Pelodiscus sinensis: one gene and its partner. The protein of the gene in region 2 binds, or shares a complex with, the protein of the main gene of each other region. Links are inferred from orthologs where the notes say so. Each region holds a gene or a part of one and is shown on either strand. Other genes may lie near its edges.

Region 1 (3,745 bases), on a different chromosome or scaffold from region 2:
CATTTTTTCAGTTAATAATTTAGACATAAAAGCTACTATTTTTTCCCCCTGCAGAACATGAATAGTGATAGCAACACAAGGCACTTGCAGCTTTACTCGTCCAAGATGTTGGATGAGACGTCAATTTCTTAGGCCCCAGTTCTAAAAGACACACATGCTAAACTTTACATATTGCAAGTAGTCCTCAGCAGTGTACCACAGTGCATAAAAGTTAAGCACATGGTTAAATCCTTCCTGTACTGGGGCCTAGGACAGCAGCACATCATTGCCTCTTCCCTAATTTGACAACAGGAAGAGATGTAGATTAGACTGCAATTACTATTCAGATTTTTGAAGCGTTGAGCTAATAATGTTGGTATAGGTATCAGCTTATTGGGAGGGGAAAGAGGAAAAGCAGCATCCTTCTTAGAGATTTTTTTGTCTCTCTGATTTGTTATTTTATTACCTTCCCATTACAGACTACACTCACTTCACCTATTTGCCAGCAACCTGTTGTTTGAACAACAACAGGCTCTTAAGAGGCAGGCCAATGTTCAGTGACAACAGCTTCTTCTGTCTACACTGGTATCAACCACAGTATTTTACAGATCAGAAAAAAATTCTTAATAGGACATACATTTTAAACCTTAAGCATTTAAGTTGAACAGGCCAAGCGTGTATTACAGGCCACTTCTGTTTTTATATCCTGCATTTCAAACAGTAGAAATTTGCCTCCCTCCCAATAATAATTATCAGGTGTTCAACTACACCTTAACATAAGGAAGTGTCTTGGAGACTGCCATATATTACATTGTTTTGTTCTTCCTACCCCAAAAGGCAAATGAAGGAATCCGCTAATAGTAAAGTACAGCTGTATAAATAAATATACCTGTCCAGTCTGGAATGCATGTAGAAATCTAAGCCAAATACAGAACACTTATCTGTACAAAAAAATTAATATTTCAACACTAACAAATTAGAGATTTCTTATTACACTCAGGAGGCACAGGAACCCCTTTGCTTAAATCATCCAAAAAAAAAAAATCGCAGTCTAACTATTCTATTTCCTTCAGGTAAGTAGATACTCATACAGTATAAAAGCACACAGAGGTATTAGCTGGGATTAAGCCTCTAGGGAAGACTATTAACTAATTTATGTAAAGAGCAAATGGTCAGCAGCACAGTGTTTAAAAAAAGTCACCCGTGCAGGGTTGGTTTAAAAAAAAAAAAAAGATAGTTGCACCAACGATCCTTGGAACAAGTAGGAGCTATGAGGGGAAAGTAATTCGGTATGGGTATGTATATGCCCTAGTCCTTCCTTAAAATTACCAATCCATTATATCCTAGCACTTCACTTTCCATTAAGCCATCAGAAGTCCAACATAGTAGCAAAAAGAAGTTCTATGACGGAGCAAATTATGTTCAAATTATATTCAAAGCCATTTTCATCTTCCCTGCATCTGATTTTCGAATTCTTGAAATGCCAACACAAGCGCCGTTTACTTCCCGGCTAGACAACACAGACACACACCGCATACCACACACACCTCCTCCTCCTCCTCCCAGCTGAAAATGAAGCCTGCTAATTCCCGTCTCAACATCACTTCTGCTTTGCTGACTGGGTGGAGCAGCTCGCCGTTTTATGGGGCTAAATGACAAACCCTTTTCTCCACAGCAAAACCATTTTCAGATCCTAAGAAGGGGGAGACACAGAGAAGGGAAAGAAAAAAAGGTGGAAACCTGGCTAGAAGAGCAAGACTGGGCTATCAAGCGAAGGGAGAAAGAAAGGAGAAAGAAGAAGGGCCGGGTGGGGGAGCAGAGCGGGGAAGAGGAAGGAGAAGGCCAGACAAAGGAAGGACTATGGGGAACGCCAGGGTGGGCACCTGCTGGCCGGGGCTGCGTGGCGGCGGCGGCCCGGCTCTCCCCCCTGCACACGTACCCAGCAGCAGCAGCCGGTGCGTTTGCTTGTACTCCCGCTTCTGCTCCTTCAGCGCCCGGTCGATGCTCTTGCTGACTTTCCTCGCCTCCTTCTCCGCCTCCCGCTCCTCCAGGCGCAGCTTCTCCCAGGGTCTCTGCAGCGCGGCGGGCTGAGGCGACTGCCGGGGCTGTTTGCCGCCGCCGGGCTTGGGCAGCGGCTGCCACTCCGGGGCCGCCCCATTGCCGCCTCCGTTCTGCAGCAGCAGCGGCGGCGGCGGCCCGTCCGCCTCTCCCCCGGGCTTGTCTGCAGGGCGGAGCGGGCCCCCGGCCCTCGGCTGCCCGCAGCAGCTGCCTCCCCGCGGGGCCCCGAGCGGCTGGGGCGGGGGGGCCGTATGCTCGGCGGGCTGCTCGGGCTCCGAGGCGGCGCTGGAGATGGAGCCGCCTCCGCCGGAGTCCCCGAAGAGCCGCGGGCGCAGGCTGTAGCAGAGCCCCATGGCTCGGTGCCCCTGCCGGGGACTGGCGCTAGCGGGGCGGGGCGGGCCTCAGCGCTCGCCGCTGGCCCTGCGCTGCCGGGGTCCGGGCGGGGAGGGGGCGGCGGGGAGCCCCTCACGGCCCCGTCGGGCCATCTTGCATTTTCCTCTCCGACTCCAGGCGGCTCCTCGGCTCAGATGATCACCTGACACGGAGCTGCCACAGCCGCGTCCACCTTACCGTAAATACCCCAGCGCAAGCCCACCGCGCAGGCACAGAGCGGCGGGGAAGGGAGGCCCTCGGCCCACACGGACAGCCTCACAGCCATCCCCTCCCACAGACCCTGACAGCTCTCCCCTCGCACGTCACAGCCCGCACCAGCTCCTCACACACGCGCCGCCGGCTCCTCCGTGCCCGGAGCCGTCCTCTCGGCCCCCTAGACAGTGTTATCGCTCATGCCTTCCCTCACACGCACAGCCCCCCCGCACTCACTCACCCCTCACCCGTTCCCTTACACCCTCTGTAAACTTCCTCCCTTTCCTCTTTTATACATTCACCCTCACTCCTTTCACACCCTCACTCTGTAAACTTTCTTCCCTGACACCCTCACCCTTAGGCAATGTCTACACAGCAACATTATTTCAAAATAACTAGCGTTATTTTGAAATAACATAGTCCACATCTACACAGACAGAAACACAGAAACCGCAACGGTCGCAAAAACTGAGGGCTTCACTTTCTGTCGTTCCACTGGCACTTATTTCTACATAATGTCAAAATACTGTCAAGCTGGAAGACTTCTTACTCCAACTCCCGTAACCCTCATTTTATGAGGACTAAGGGAAGTAAGGGAAGTAGGAGGAAGAGTGCTCTATTTCGAAATAAGTGTTGTGTAGACATCACCAAAACTCAAAATAAGCTATTTAGAAACAGGGCTGGCCCGAGCTCTTTTGGTGCCCTGGGCCCGGGCTCACAGCACCACCCCCGGGCGCACGGCACAGGTGTGAGCCCACCTGTGGGGTGCGGGCCCTCCCCCCCCGGGGTGCACAGTGCATGCGCTGCCCAGCCCGGCCCAGCATGCGCTGGTGGCTCGTGCGCAGAGCCAAGCAGGGCCCCGCGGCCGTGGGGGGGAAGGGCGCTGCTGGCTGGCGCCGGTGCTGCGGAAGCCGGGTGCACGGCCCCTGATGGCAGCTGTAAGGGACACCGCGCGCCCCTTACAGCTGCCATCAAGTGCCCCTCATTGGTTGGTGCCCTGGGCAGCTACCCGGCTTTGCCCATGCCTCCGTCCGGCCCTGTTTAGAAATAAATTACTCAGTTGACATAGCTCAATTTGCGTAGCTTATTTTGAGTTAAGTGCTGCTATGTAGATGTGCCCTCA
Region 2 (3,745 bases):
AGTGAGCCGGGGGAGGTGATCCTCTGTGTGACTATCAGTGGGAAATGTGTCCAAGAGGCAATGCCTTTATTAAGCTCTCATTCACATTATGAAAATGGTTAACAGCCCTTACCTAAAGCTTTATCACTTCTCCCAGCTGACCAACATCTCCCTATTGCTCCTGATTCCCATGAGAGCCATTATGATCTCCCTTTATTGTTTCTAGCAGATTCCTGACTACTAACCCTTCATCCTGGTAGGCCTGCACAATTCCTCTGGGCTCCTGATTAGTGGCACTTCCACTGCCAGCTGCCTCAAGAGGCCTCTATTCCGGCCTCAAAAATGTCACTCCTGCTTTACCACCTTTCCCCTGTGTGAACAATGGTGCTCCCCCCCCCCCCCGCAATGAAGCAGGGAACTGTATGAACATAATGTACAGCCCCCTCACTGCTTTGTCACTGAAGCCATATACATATTGCATCCCCAAATCCATGCCAAAAATTGAAAAAAAAATAAAAAGGGAAAGTCAAAAAATTCATGCAAATTTGCTGTTAAAATTTCTTGGAGGCTAGTGATTCACCAGAAAGTGCCACTTTCTGGATATTCATGCCCCCCAGTCAAGAAGGATGGAAAGCAAGATTCCCAGCTAAAGCAGCCTCTGTGAGTCACAACTCCACAAGAAATGCTAATACCAAGTTTGCCTGAACTTGAAGACAATCTTTTTTTGAAATTTCCTTTTATATTTTTTTCAATTTTTGACTGAGATTTTGGAAGGCAGCATGCATAAAAGAGAAAAAAATCATTTTTAAAAACAAATTTCTCTCCATGTTTTGTTAAGAAAACATTAATTTACTGACATTAAAAGAATTTTTAAATTGCATTTACTTCCCACCACCAGTGGAGCTGATTGTTTACGCTTTGCATTTCATTTGGCACAGACCATGGACATTGTGCATAAGATCTTGGGCTGCTTTCAGCTACACCTCTAGTGATATAAATCAGCCCAGAGTCAGCTTCTCTGGGAACTCAGGAAGGATCTATGAAGGAGGAAGGTCAGGCGGCACAGAGTAGGGATGTTAGATATAATGTAATTGAGTAGTCTGTGTAACTACATGAAATCTTAGCAGTTACACAAATATACCACAGTACCCAGGGGCAGGGCCGCTCCCACTCTTGAGAAACCTCTTGTCACCCCACACTGCTGCCTCTATATATGAGGCAGCAATATAGGATGGCAGACAGGAGCTGGTGGATCAGGCGAGCCAGTTTAAAAACCAATTCCCCCACACAATCCCCTAGCCCCATGCTGCTGCCTCTGATACAGAGGGTTTGAGCTCCCCACAGACTGAGGCTGCTGCCAGGGACAAGCCCCTGTCTGCAGCAGGCCCAGGCTCGCTGGGAACAAGGACTGCTCCATATTTGGCAAAGTAAGCACCGTCCTGAGTGTTCAGCAAATGCTTATGCACCAGTGGGAGCAGCTGCGGGTGGTATGTGCAGCTGCAAAGTCGGCATAGGAAGTACTGGGGGGGGAGGGGTTCCAAATACGGGTTCCCACCCTAGTTCTTTAATGTAGACAAGGTCCCACTACGCAGGCCAGGGAAGAGCAAACCATGGAGACAGGCCCTGCAGAGAACACCCTGTATCCTCTCGCAGCCAGAGCGCGGGGAGGGCAGGAAATCCCGGGGGCGCTGCTATTGCTGCCGCAGGGCGCCCAGGAACTCTCCTAAGGCTTCAGCACGGCCGGCTCCTGCCGGAGCGAAGGCGAGAGGGGGGCGAAGCCGAGCCGGTGCCGTGCGGCAGGGCGGGCAGGGAAGCCGGCAGGGCGCTCGGAGCAGGCGGGTCCCGCGGGCATGTGGCGGGGGCGCATCTGTGCACAGGCCCGTCGCCCTCCTCTCGTGTCACCCGCCTGCCGCTCCGAGGGACACTCGAGCTCCGGCCCGGGCGGGATGGTCCCGTGGCCCGATCCTCCCGCAGCCTTCCCCGGGCCCAGCGGCCCCGCTCGGGGCGGGACACCAGGGGGAGGGGGGGGCGCACTCCGCTCGGCTGCTCCCCTGCCCAGAAGCGCAGCCTCCCCCTCGGGCCCGGCCCCGCAGACAAAGGCTGGTGGGGGCGGGAGCCGCTCGCTCCGAGCCCCGCCGGGCTCCTCCAGCAGGGCCCCGGCAGCAAAGGGCAGCGGGAAGCGGCGGGCTGGGCGAGCCCGCAAAGGAGGCCCCCGCGCTGCAGCTGCAGCCACACGCTCCCCTGCGGGGCCGTGGGACAGACTCACCGCCGGGCCGGGCCGCGCCGCGCCGCTTTCTCCTTCCCCTGCCGCCTCCGCTGCAGTCAGGGGCGGGAGGTTTCGGGTTACAGCGCCCGGGACCCCCCACAGCAGCCGCCAAGCCAGAGGCCCGGAAAACCTGCCCGACCCGCCTCCCGGCTCCATCCCCCTTCCACACATCCCCCCTGCCCCCTCCTGTGCCCCTTCCACACCCCTCCTCCTCTCTTCCCCCACCCCCTCCTCCTTTCCCCCTCACATCCCTCCTCCCCCACCTCGCCTCCTGTCCTCACACCCTTCTATCTCCTTCCACGTCTCTCCTCCTGATCTCCCTCATCTATTTTCCTTCTACACTTTCTCTCCTCCTTTCCACATCTTTTCCCACCCCCTCCATCCATTTTTGCATCTCCTTCATCTTCTGTCCCACTTTCACTCTTCTGCTCCCCCACCCTGCTTTCCACTCCCTCCTCCATTCATCTTTCTTCCCACCTTCCTTTCTTTCCTCTATCAGTTTCCTGTTCTCTTCCCATGTTTCTGCACTCAGCAATCCCCCTTCCTACTTTTTTTTTTCCTGACAGGTGTCTTTTCTTTTCGCCTTCCAATCTGCTACAACTTTTCCCTGCTATTTGCTCACCCTTGGTCTACTCTCTCACCCCCTCTGCTATTTTTTCCCCTGTCCCCCTTCATACAGACTCACAAGACCAAATTCAGGGATGTAATATAACTTAAATTCCATTATACTAATTTAGACTTCTGTAGACATTGGTACTAGGGATGTTAAATATCGGTTAATTCACTAGTCAATTAACCTCATGAATTCTTGTCGGTTAGTCGACTATTCTATAGTCCCTGGACAGCCCCTGTCTGGAGGGAAGGGGTCTGAGCTCCCAGACCTGGCACAAGGCAGAACTGAGCCAGGCTGCTTGCCCACCTGGCTCCTAATACACTTTAAAGGCAGAGCTGCAGCGAGGTAAGTCCAGGACCCAGTGCAAGCCAGGACTGAGCTGGGCGGCTGGCCAGCCTGCTAAAAAGTGTACTGGCAAGGGGGAAGAGGGGGGAATGCATGTAGTCTATAGCATTAACCTATAAACTTTTCCTTATTGGTTAATCGACTACACTATTACATCCCTAATTGGATGTAACTTGAAATGTGTGTGTGTAAAACTGTATGAGCATAAAGGCATCTAATATGCATTACCACTACATTTGGCAGGCTCAGATGAGGTATGAAGCAGGGAAGGTATTTGCCCAACATCACATAATAAGTAGCAGAACCAGGAATAGAACCTGGCATCCTGACTCCTAGTTCCTTAAATCATCATAGCAAATGCCAAGAAGACACAGCCTCCTTGCTGATGATATGCCACCTAGATCAATCTGTGGCTACATATTTAAGGTGGCTTGGCTAGATATTCAGCTTGTTCATCACTAGCAATCTTAGTGCACCACCAAAGCTTTTGGCACCTAAGTGATCATTAGCAGGATAGTGACATTCCTTTGTGCATGTGCTTC

The links. Proteins that work in one complex are often made in the same cells at the same time.
Region 1: the proteins of GPR161 (region 2) and GNAL are in contact, whole or in part, in a cryo-EM structure (PDB 8KH4), measured with the Homo sapiens proteins. The link is inferred for Pelodiscus sinensis from reciprocal best matches to the Homo sapiens genes GPR161 and GNAL. Residues at the interface, in NP_001254539.1 of Homo sapiens: Arg125, Ala128, Val129, Leu130, Pro132, Met133, Tyr135, Pro136, Met137, Ile139, Ile211, Val214, Ala215, Lys218, Ala219, Lys267, Ala268, Thr271, Trp327, Asn328, Lys329, Arg332; in NP_001135811.1 of Homo sapiens: Ala41, His43, Lys203, Val204, Phe206, Phe363, Cys366, Arg367, Asp368, Ile370, Gln371, Arg372, His374, Leu375, Gln377, Tyr378, Glu379, Leu380, Leu381.

Annotation. Positions count from the first base shown.
Region 1 is NC_134712.1:86,762,776-86,766,520, reverse strand, and holds the start of GNAL (guanine nucleotide-binding protein G(olf) subunit alpha), read right to left. Parts: upstream 2,763-3,745; 5' UTR 2,391-2,762; coding exon 1,919-2,390; intron 1-1,918. UniProt on the Homo sapiens protein: Guanine nucleotide-binding protein (G protein) involved as transducer in olfactory signal transduction controlled by G protein-coupled receptors (GPCRs).
Region 2 is NC_134711.1:149,448,504-149,452,248, forward strand, and holds the start of GPR161 (G-protein coupled receptor 161), read right to left. Parts: upstream 2,379-3,745; 5' UTR 2,246-2,378; intron 1-2,245. UniProt on the Homo sapiens protein: Key negative regulator of Shh signaling, which promotes the processing of GLI3 into GLI3R during neural tube development.